2 linked regions of the Oryctolagus cuniculus genome follow. Each later gene encodes a partner of the first gene's protein in a complex. Links are inferred from orthologs where the notes say so. Each region holds a gene or a part of one and is shown in the gene's direction. Other genes may lie near its edges.

Region 1 (4,625 bases):
CATACATGAATTTGTGTGTAGACTCAGGTCCCAATACCATGATAGCTCATTATGTGTGTACAAATATCCTGAAATGGGAAAACACTTGTGGTCCCAAGGCTTTCAGGGAAGAAGGTCTCAACCGGTAGGTAGAAGTGAGCCAGTCTTCCAAGTGTTTTTTTTTTTAAAGATTTACTTGTTCATTTGAAAGTCAGAGTTACACAGAGAGAGGAAAGGTAAAAAGAGAGAGAGAGAGAGAGGTCTTCCATCCACTGGTTCACTCCCCAGTTGGCTGCAAGGGCCGGAGCTGCGCCAATCAGAAGTCAGGAGCCGGGAGCTTCTTCCGGGTCTCCCTTATGGGTGCAGGGGCCCAAGGACTTGGGCCATCCTCCACTGCTTTCCCAGGCCACAGCAGAGAGCTGGATCGGAAGTGGAGCAGCCGGGACTCAAACCGGCGCCCACATGGGATGCCGGTGCCTCAGGCCAGGGCGTTAACCCACTGCGCCACAGCGCCGGCCCCTGGCAAGCTTTGTATGTTGCGATTTCTCTTGCAGGGTGGTGAAGACGGTGGCTGTGAAAATACTGAAGAACGAGGCCAACGACCCGGCCCTGAAAGACGAGCTGCTGTCGGAAGCCAACGTCATGCAGCAGCTGGACAACCCCTACATCGTGCGCATGATCGGGATCTGCGAAGCCGAGTCGTGGATGCTGGTGATGGAGATGGCGGAGCTCGGGCCTCTCAATAAGTACTTGCAACAGAACAGGTATCACTGGGTTCCCCGGAAGGCACAGAGGCTGTGCTGTGATGGCCGGGGACGGGGGGACCCACCTTCCCACCTGTGTGCCAACGGCACTTCCACGGGACGCCTGCCCAGGCTGGTCCTCGCTCAGGGAAGGGGAGGCGCGAGAGGAGTCTCTGGACACAGCTCTTTCACTCTTGGCGCTCGGGGAAAGCTCCAATGCAGCAGCGGAATCCTCATTCTCTTCCTTTACGGGCTAAGACGTCCCACAGCAGAGTGTCGGGGTCTCCTGACCGCGGCTTGCGGCTAATGTACACCCGTAAGGCAGCAGGTGGTGGTATCTAAAGTGGCTGAGATCCTGCCACCGACATGGGAGACCTTTAGCTGGGCGCAGCCCTGGCCACTATGGATATTTGGGGGAATGGGCAAGCCAATGGGGCACTCGCTTGCTCCCTCTCTCTCTGTCTCTCTCTCTCTTCAAATGACTAAATTTTAAAAACGAAAATAATATTTGAAAACATGTATGGGGCCAGCATTGTGGTGCAGTGGCTTGAGGCACTGCTTGCAATGCCAGCATCGCATATCAAAGCGCTGATTCCAGTCCCAGCTGCTCATTTCTAACCCAGCTCCCTGCTAATGGCCTGGGAAAGCAGTAGACGATGGTCCAGGTGCTGGGGCCCCTGCCACCCTAGAAGGAAACTCAGTTGGAGCTCCAGGCTTCTGGCTTTGGCATGGCCCAGCCCAGGCCCTTGCAACCGTTTGGGGAGTGAACCAGTGGATGGAAGCACTCTCTCTCTCTTTGTATGTCTGTGTGTGTGTGTGTGTGTATGCCTGTTTGTCTCTGTCACTTTGCCTTTCAAATAAGTAAATATTTTTTAAAAGTTTCTGGGAAATATGCATTATGAGAAAACTATTTGTGAATTTCAAATTTTGTTGTATCAAAATAAATTTATCTTTTAATTCAGTTTTTTCCATCAACTTTTTTGAAGGTCTGTGTACTGATTCCATGAAAGAATCAGCCTCAAGGAAAAAAAAGTCTCTCCTCCCTAGGCAGAACACACTTTTTTCCCCCAAAGATTTGTCTATTTATTTGAAAGGCGGAGAGAGACAGAGAGAAATCTTCCATCTATTGGCTCACTCCCCAAATGCTCACATCCACAGGCCAAAGCTGCTAGCAAGTGGTGGCTTAACTTGCCACACCACAATGCTGGCACTAAAATACATTTTTTTTCAAGAAACATTTTCTCAGGGGTAATGGTTATGTTTCATACAGGTTAAGTATCTGCTAGCCAGAATACTTGGTACCAGGTATGTTTATGAATTTGGATTTTTTTTTCTGGATTTAGGAATATTTGCATATACATAATGAAATATCTTGAGAATGAGACACAGTCTAAACATGAACTTCATTTGTGTTTCATACACACTTCATACACATGGCCCAAATTCATTGCCACAATACTTTTAATAATTCTGTGGCCGAAGCAGTTTCCCACTATCAAGTTTTCCACTTAGAATGTGCTCAAAAATCTCAGTGTTTGAAACGTTTCAGATCTGGGATGTTTGGATTAGTGTTAGCCAGCTGTGTGGCTTGGCGGACCGCCAAGTGCCCGAGAGTGAGCCCCTCTGGGAGTATAAGGTACAGTGACTGATCCTGTCGCCAACACTTGGAGTAGGGCACAGTCAGCCACCAGAACCCAGCCTGCTCTCTGCACCAGAGACCTGCTGTACCCGGAGTGTCCCCTCGGTCTCTGTGACACGGAGAGCTGTTACTTCTCCCAGATGGGTACACAACAGAGACGGGTTGGTTTGGTTACCTGCCCGGTATTGGAGCAACGGTTTCAACTGACACTGGGCCATCTGTGAGCCAGGTCTGACCGCTCCACTGCTTGTCATCCAAAGCAAGCCATGGCAACCAAACCTTTAAACAGCAGGCCAGTGTCCAGTCTTGCACTGCTGTACACTGACAAATTACCTGTTGCTACTCGCCAGTGTTGTTACTGAAGAACAGCCCGGGGGTGGGGGGATTCATTGTCCGTTTGCTTGTTCTGAAGTGGGCGCTTCCGCTGTGGCTAATGGTACCCCTGTGACTCGCAGGCATGTCAAGGACAAGAACATCATAGAGCTGGTTCATCAGGTTTCCATGGGGATGAAATACTTGGAAGAGTGCAATTTTGTGCACAGAGATCTGGCTGCAAGGAATGTACTGCTGGTCACTCAACATTACGCCAAGATCAGCGACTTTGGACTTTCCAAAGCTCTGCGTGCAGACGAGAACTACTACAAGGTAGGGACAAGGCCGCCGATGCTCAGAGCGGCAACTTGTGGAAACTCAAAGACAAATGTGTGTTTCTTTATCTTCTCATGGAAAGCTTTCAAGAAGTAATTTCAGCAGGTTACAAAAAGTATAGAAAATATTTTTATTAAGCTTTGATTCTGTTGTTTAAAAAATACAGGCATGCTGGGGGGGTGGGCGGTGTTGTGGCACAGTGGGTTAAACTGATGCCCGGGATGCTGGCATCCTATCTGGGCACCAGGTCAAGTCCTGGCTGCTCCCCTTTCATTCTAGTTCCCTGCTGATGCACCTGGGAAAGCAGTGGAGGCTGGTCTAAGTGCTTGGACCCTGCACTCACGTGGGAGACCAGGGAGACGCTCCTGGCTCCTGGGTTCAGCCCAGCCCAGTCTAGGCTGTCGGTGCCACTTGGATTGTGAGCCAGTGAATGGAAGATCTCTCCTTCTATATCTCCCTTCGTCTCTCTCTCTCTCTGTAACTCTGCTTTTCCTTGCAAGAGGTGACAGCACTCAACAGTGTCCCCTCCCCAAATCCCAAATCCTAAGTGAGGCATTCTGTCGTGCACGGTTTTGATCTCTTTATTACCACTGGCTTTAAAAAAATTTATTATTATATATTTCTCTGAGAGTCAGAGCCAGAGAGAGAGAGAGAGAGAGAGAGAGTCAGAGAGAGAGAGACAGACAGAGAGAGAGGTCTTCCATCTGCTGGTTCACTCCCCAAATGGCCGAAATGGTCAGAGCTGAGCAGAGCCAAAGCCAAGAGCCAAGAGCTTCTTCTGGATCTCCCACGTGAGTGCAGGGGCCCAAGGACTTGGGCCATCTTCTACTGCTTTCCCAGGCCATAGCAGAGAGCTGGATCGGAAGTGGAGCAGCCAGGACTAGAACCAGCACCATATGGGATGCTGGCACCACAGGCGGAGGATTAACCCACTGTGCCACAGCGCCAGCCCCCGCTGGCTGTATTAAATTAGGAAATTAGAAAATTTAAGGCATTCTAAAATGATGTAAGTCTTATTCAAATAGTTGGCATTGGCTTGACAATACAGACAAATTCACAGCAGTTAAATATCGCTGGGAACACCCAGGTGTTTCTTGGGCAACATCCATGAAGTAGATTCTTGGGCTTGACTCTCTCCGCCACCCGTGTACTCTGCAAAGTTGTATGTGGCCAAAGAGGAGAGAGCCAAAGACCAAAAGCTGCAAGCAGTGCCAGCAATCCTGCCCGAATCTTACAGGTGTGCGTGTAAATCTTAAAAGGAGTGCTTAAAGATTTGTTTGAAATCTCTTTATTTGAGATGCAGAGAGAGAAAGAGAGACAGAGGCAGAGAGAGAGAGAGAACGCACTCTCCTCTGCTACTTCACCCCCCAGATGCCCACAATGCCCGGAACTGGGCCAGGCTGAAGCCAGGGGCTGGAACTCAGTCTGCGTCTCCCACATGAGTGGCGGGGACCCAAGTACTTGCACCATTGTCTGCTGCCCCCCAGGGTGCCCATTAGCAGGATGCTGGAGTCAGGAAATGGAGCCAGGAATCCAACCCAGTTACTCTGACGTGGGACAGCAGGGTCAGGGTCCCCTTCCTCTCTGAGGCTGAATGACAGCCCCCTGGTCGCTGC
Region 2 (5,393 bases), on another chromosome or scaffold:
AGGGGGTATCAGGCCGGCCTTCGGGCAGGAGCCAAGTGACGAGCTCCTGGAACAATGGCAGGTCTCACACAGGCCATCAGTATTGCCTCCTGTGATGTGCATTGGCAAGAAGCTGGCGTCAGGAGCCAGTGTCCCACCCCAAGCAGCAGCCAGGACACCCAGGCAGTGAGTGAGTGTGTGGTGCGCTCAGTGAGGGGAAGAGTGGCAGGAAGTGAGGACAGAGAGGTGGGTGAATGTGTCTTTTTAAATTTCTTTTGGGTAAATAGGTAGAAGCAGAAATCCTGGATCAGCGGCTAGATGACTGTTTAAGTTTCCAATGAAGCACCCAGTTGTTTCCCAAAGAGGTTTTTCTCTTTGCCATTGTGCAGCATAGGAGATCTCCGCCTGCCCCACACCCCCGCTGGTACCTCTGTCAGCAGTCACTCCGCTGGGTGTGTCCGATGCCCAGACACACCTCGGCTTCCCCTTGTATCTCTCTAGCGACCAGTGATATGGAGTACTTTCTCATATGTGTTCTGGCCACCTGTGTCTCATCCTCTATGACGTGTCTGCTCAAAAATTGGGGGGCTGTTTAAAAAGTTAGGGGTTTTTTTTAATTCTTTTTTTATTTTTTGACAGGCGGAGTTAGACAGGGAGAGACAGACAGAAAGAAAAGACAGGCGGAGTTAGACAGGGAGAGACAGAGAGACAGAAAGAAAGGTTTTCCTTCCGTTGGTTCACTCCCCAAATGGCCACTACGTTGGCGCTGCGCCAGTCCGAAGCCGGGAGCCACTTCCTGCTTCCTCCTGGTCTCCCATGCAGGTGCAGGGCCCAAGCACTTGGGCCATCCTCCACTGCACTCCCAGGCCACAGCAAAGAGCTGGACTGGAAGAGGAGCAACCGGGACAGAATCCGGTGCCCCGACCAGGACTAGAACCCAGGGTGCCGGCGCCGCTAGGTGGAGGATTAGCCTAGTGAGCCGCGGCACCGGCCTAATTCTTTTAATTCTTAATTTTCCTTTGATTTGAAATGCAGGAGCCAAAAGGAGATCTTCCATCTGTTGGCTCACTCCTCAAACGCCTGCAATGGCTGGGACTGGGCCAGGCCAAAGCCAGGAGCCTGGAGCTCCCTCTCTATCTCCATAGCAACTGGAGTCACCACACCGAGGTCCTCCAGGGAGATCGGGGGCTTCCCAAGCACCATCTTGACCACTCTGCCAAATGCCTGCCCCTGTCTGATTTTTTTTTTAAATTTTTTTGACAGGCAGAGTGGACAGTGAGAGAGAGAGAGAGAGAGAGAGAGAGAGAGAGAGAGGTCTTCCTTTTGCCGTTGGTTCATCCTCTAATGGCCGCCACAGCCAGCGCACTGCGGCCGGCCGGCGCACCGTGCTGATCTTTGCCTGGCAACTGTGGGGCATTTGGGCTGTGCAGCGACAGAAATGGCAGCCAGGGGAGCAGGGAGGGCAGCAGAGAGCCAACCCCGCGTCTGGGAAAGGCCTTCCCCAAGCCATGGCCCTGCGTCAGCAGACTGAGACACTGCAGATCCTGGGCGGAGGCCCCCAGCCCAGCCCCCTGGAGCAATGCCCTCCACGCCATCCTCTCCTTCACCGCCCGGCCCAGACACCAATCCGGCCTGCACGCCTCTGTGGTCTGCACAGCGGTACTGATTGCAAAAGGATTGCAACACCTCTGGTCCGCCACCACCCAGCCCGTTCCCTCGCATTGCTTTCCCTTCCCCATATCCCAGCTACTAAACGGGGCTCCAGTACCCCCACCCTCCCCCACCCTGGCCACATCTGTCCTGATTGGACGGTGTGCCCGATGTCCTGGCTGCTAGGTCGAGTATCTTCTGGGGACAGCTCTGGTCTGGTGGGAGATGGCAGCAGGGGACCCAGTGGCTGGTGCTGCGGGGTGGAGGGAGGGGTTTTATCCAGGTGAGCTCAGGGCTGGGTGCTCGTAGGACAGCAGCGATGACAAGGATGATGAAGATCATTTCTTGAGCACACGCCACTCACTGTTTTCTTACACTTCCCCACACACTCACCCTAAACCGGACCAGTGCAGGAGCCTAGGGCCCTCCTCCCGCCCCTGCTCCCCCTGCCCACAGCCAGAGGGACCCTGTGAACCCAGAGTTGTGGCAGCGCCAGACTTCCAGTCCCCTCCCCTCCCGCACCAGCCACCCAGCGTCTGTCTCATGACAGTCCAATTTCCCCTTTCCTGAGCGCAGCCCCGGGGAGAGGCTGCCATGACGTGTGGGTGGGGGAGGGGTCTTACTAGCTCATCCCCAGCACTCTAACCTCAGGTTCCTCCTTCCTCCACCCCAGTTTGGGTTCCTGCTGGGGGGCTCAAAGACCCTGCCTCCTCTCTCCCTCTGGCCTCACTTTCTGCCACTTCCTCACCCTGCAGGGAAGCCCCCCACCTGCCGAGCCTAGAGCCCCTGCTTCTGTCTCGGGGCTGTGTGTTTCTACACCATCTTTCTCCTCCTTGCTGTTGTCTTCTTGTTGTTGTCACTCATCCTTTATTTTTCTTTCTCCTTAAGAATCAAAACTCTGTCTTTGGGTCCTGGGTTCCATTTCCGCCTTGGCAAGCACAAATGGGCATGATAAGTGATTTAACACTTGGGATGGAGTGCCTGCATTAGGGCCACATGCAAATGGCTCCTTAAAAAATTTTATTTATTTGAAAGGCAGAGTTGGTGGGGGTAGGAAGAGAGGGAGAGAGAGAGAGAGAAAGATCTTCCATGCCCTGGCTCACTCCCCAAATGGCCACAACAGTCAGGGCTGGGCGAGGTGGAAGCCAGGAGCTTCTTCCGGGTCTCCCACGTGGATGGCAGGGCCATCCTCTGCTCCTTCCCCATGCGCGTTAGCAGGGAGCTGTGAACCAGTGCTCATATGGGAAGCCAGCGGTCACAGGTGCCATCTTTCCTAACAACCCAGAAAGGTGGAGCTCAGTGGCCCGAGCTCGTCCAGCCGTGGGGAGGCAGAGCTGGCTCCAGCCCTAGCCACTGACCCTCCTGTTGCCATGGCACCGACACCGAGCTGGGGATGCGGGTTGAGGATTGACACGGGCACCTGAGCTTGTCGTGTCCGGCACCGGGCTGTCTGGGCCCGATTCTTTCTGATGTTCTCTCTCTCTGTCCCTCCTCCTTCGCCACTGTCCCCTCCTCCTCTGCCACCGCCGGCCTCAGACTTCCTCCTTCGCTTGGTTGGACGCTACGCCTCATCCCGCTGGCCCTCGGACGGTGGTGTCCAGTCGTATGCTGGTGTCATGGGGGGCCTGGAAAGCTCCAGCAGGCTCCTGTTCCTGCCTCTCCTTCTGACCGTGGGGGGTGAGTTGGGGGCTTCTGCAGCTGTCTCCTGAGGATTGGGGGAAGGGGCAGGAAGCAGGGTGGAGCGAGTGAACCAAAGGGGGGGTTGGACTGGAGCAGGTTCTCAGCCCCCCCAAAGCCTGAGGGTCTTTGCTGAGCCGCAGTCCCCAAGATTCGGTTTCCTGTAGAAAGCAGGGGAGGAGACATCCGAGTTGTTGCAGCAAGACAAGGCCCTGTAGAGGTAAAACCCTTCCATGGCCCTGACGCCAGCCAGGCGCTGCTCCCCACCCCCACTCCCAGCCTCCAGACCTGCACTCCAGTCACAGCTCGCTGCCTCAGTTTACCTTCTTCTTCCCTCCTCAGGTCTCAGCCCTGTCCAGGCCCAGAGCGGTAGGTCTAGCCCTTACAATCCCTCTTCCTACCTCCCAAAGACTTCCCCCTCTCTGCCCCCTCCCCAATCTTCCAGGGCCTCCCTCTGCTGACGCCCACCCCCCAGTTCCCAACCCCACACTGACCTCCTCCCCACCCCTACCCCCGCCGTGTGCCGATTCTCAGAGTGCACCTGCTCCTCCCTGAGTGCGGGGGCGCTGGCGGGGATCGTGCTGGGGGACCTGGTGTTGACCCTGCTCATCGCCCTGGCTGTGTACTCGCTCGGCCGGCTGGTCCCTCGCGGCCGAGGGGCTGTGGACGGTGAGTGGGACAGGCAGGGGTGGCCTGGGGCGCTCTGAGCACTGGCCTGGTGGTGGTGGTGGTGTTCTTGGTGGGGCAGGCTAAGGGCCTGTTCACTGGCGTCAGAGGGGTGGTGATGGAGGCTGCAAGGTGAGGACAACAGAATGGTCCCAATTCACTGTCCTGCCCGTCTTTTGCACCCTGCGCCCCCGCAGTGACCCGGAAGCCGCGCATCACTGAGACCGAGTCACCTTATCAGGTAAGGAGCCAGGCCTCTTCCCCGAATCTCACTCCTGCCTAGCAGGTGTCTGCCCTGTGTACCCCACACGCCCTCCGGGGGACCCTTGAAGCCACTTTCTCCAAAGCTCCCCGTGCCTAGAAGGCCAATGGGGGCATCTGTCCAAAACCGCATTACCTGATCCACCCTGGCCTTGTGCTCAGCTGAACCCTCGCGGAGAGGACATCCAGCGAAGGCTTTGCCTTGGTCAGGCAAGCTCAGGCCTTTGGAGCGGGCAGGCTCGAAATCGTCCTGGAAAATCCCTGGCCCCAGGACACCCTGATGTCTGAGAGCCACTCTCAGGAGGTTGTCATGCAGCCTTTGTTTGGGAACTCCGGAGAGGGGAGCCCTCCGATCCGGGGACTGTGTGTGTGTATGTGTGTGTGTGTGTGGCGGGGGGGGGGGGGGGGGCGTGCTATGTCCCTTTAAGAAGCTGATGGAAACCAGAGACTTCAGAAAAGTCCACGCCAAGAATCACAGGTGCATATGATCTAGGGGCCGTGTCCATGTCCTTGAACCCCTTCTTAGAAACTGTGGTGCGGACAGAGGCAGGGGCCGCGCCTCCGAGCAACGTGCACACACAGACTGGTCTTCCTATGGGATTTCAGGTTTCAGGGGTTCTGTGTGAGGCCGCCCCTTGCCCCATAGACTCCGCCCCAAAAAACCCCACTTGTGACCCCGCTCTGTGGAGGCAGGTGTGTGGTCTCACGTGGCCTGCCTGGCAGCTCTGCCTCACTTGTGAATACAGCTTCCTCCTAAGAATCTCAAGTTTGGCTCGGTAAGAGCCGGCGGGCCTCGGTGGGCTGGGAGTGAACTCAGGCTGTTCAGTGTGCCAGATGTGGGACTCGGCAGCACAGCGCACCCCGCAGCTGGGGACACCGGCCAGAGTCAAATGAACAGACAGAAGTATGTTGGGACAAGTCACGAAGGAAGGAAAGCGAGCTGGTGAGACAGACTGGAGTGCAGGGGAGGGAACTAGAGACAAGGAAATTCACGAAGGAAGGAAAGGAGCTGGTGAGACAGTGACTGGAGTGCAGGGGAGGGAACTAGAGACAGGAAATTGAGAAACACTTCTCTGAGGATGTGACGTGAGCTGAGACTTGAAGCCGGGGAAGACTGAGGGAATAGCATGTGCAAAGGCCCCGGGGCCTGGGGAGAGGGG

The links.
Region 2: the proteins of SYK (region 1) and TYROBP are in contact, whole or in part, in a crystal structure (PDB 7Q5W), measured with the Homo sapiens proteins. The link is inferred for Oryctolagus cuniculus from reciprocal best matches to the Homo sapiens genes SYK and TYROBP. Residues at the interface, in NP_001167638.1 of Homo sapiens: Arg22, Arg42, Asn46, His62, His63, Tyr64, Thr65, Ile76, Ala77, Gly78, Gly79, His92, Asp97, Gly98, Leu99, Arg175, Arg195, Arg197, Lys212, Leu214, His215, Tyr216, Arg217, Ile228, Pro229, Glu230, Gly231, Lys232, His243, Lys247; in NP_003323.1 of Homo sapiens: Pro90, Tyr91, Gln92, Glu93, Leu94, Gln95, Arg98, Ser99, Asp100, Val101, Tyr102, Ser103, Asp104, Leu105, Asn106.

What each region holds. Positions count from the first base shown.
Region 1 is NC_091432.1:139,341,900-139,346,524, forward strand, and holds part of SYK (tyrosine-protein kinase SYK), read left to right. Parts: intron 1-533; coding exon 534-743; intron 744-2,816; coding exon 2,817-3,006; intron 3,007-4,625. UniProt on the Homo sapiens protein: Non-receptor tyrosine kinase which mediates signal transduction downstream of a variety of transmembrane receptors including classical immunoreceptors like the B-cell receptor (BCR).
Region 2 is NC_091449.1:19,525,095-19,530,487, reverse strand, and holds the start of TYROBP (TYRO protein tyrosine kinase-binding protein), read left to right. Parts: upstream 1-2,291; 5' UTR 2,292-3,098; coding exon 3,099-3,306; intron 3,307-3,648; coding exon 3,649-3,675; intron 3,676-3,840; coding exon 3,841-3,975; intron 3,976-4,169; coding exon 4,170-4,213; intron 4,214-5,393. UniProt on the Homo sapiens protein: Adapter protein which non-covalently associates with activating receptors found on the surface of a variety of immune cells to mediate signaling and cell activation following ligand binding by the receptors.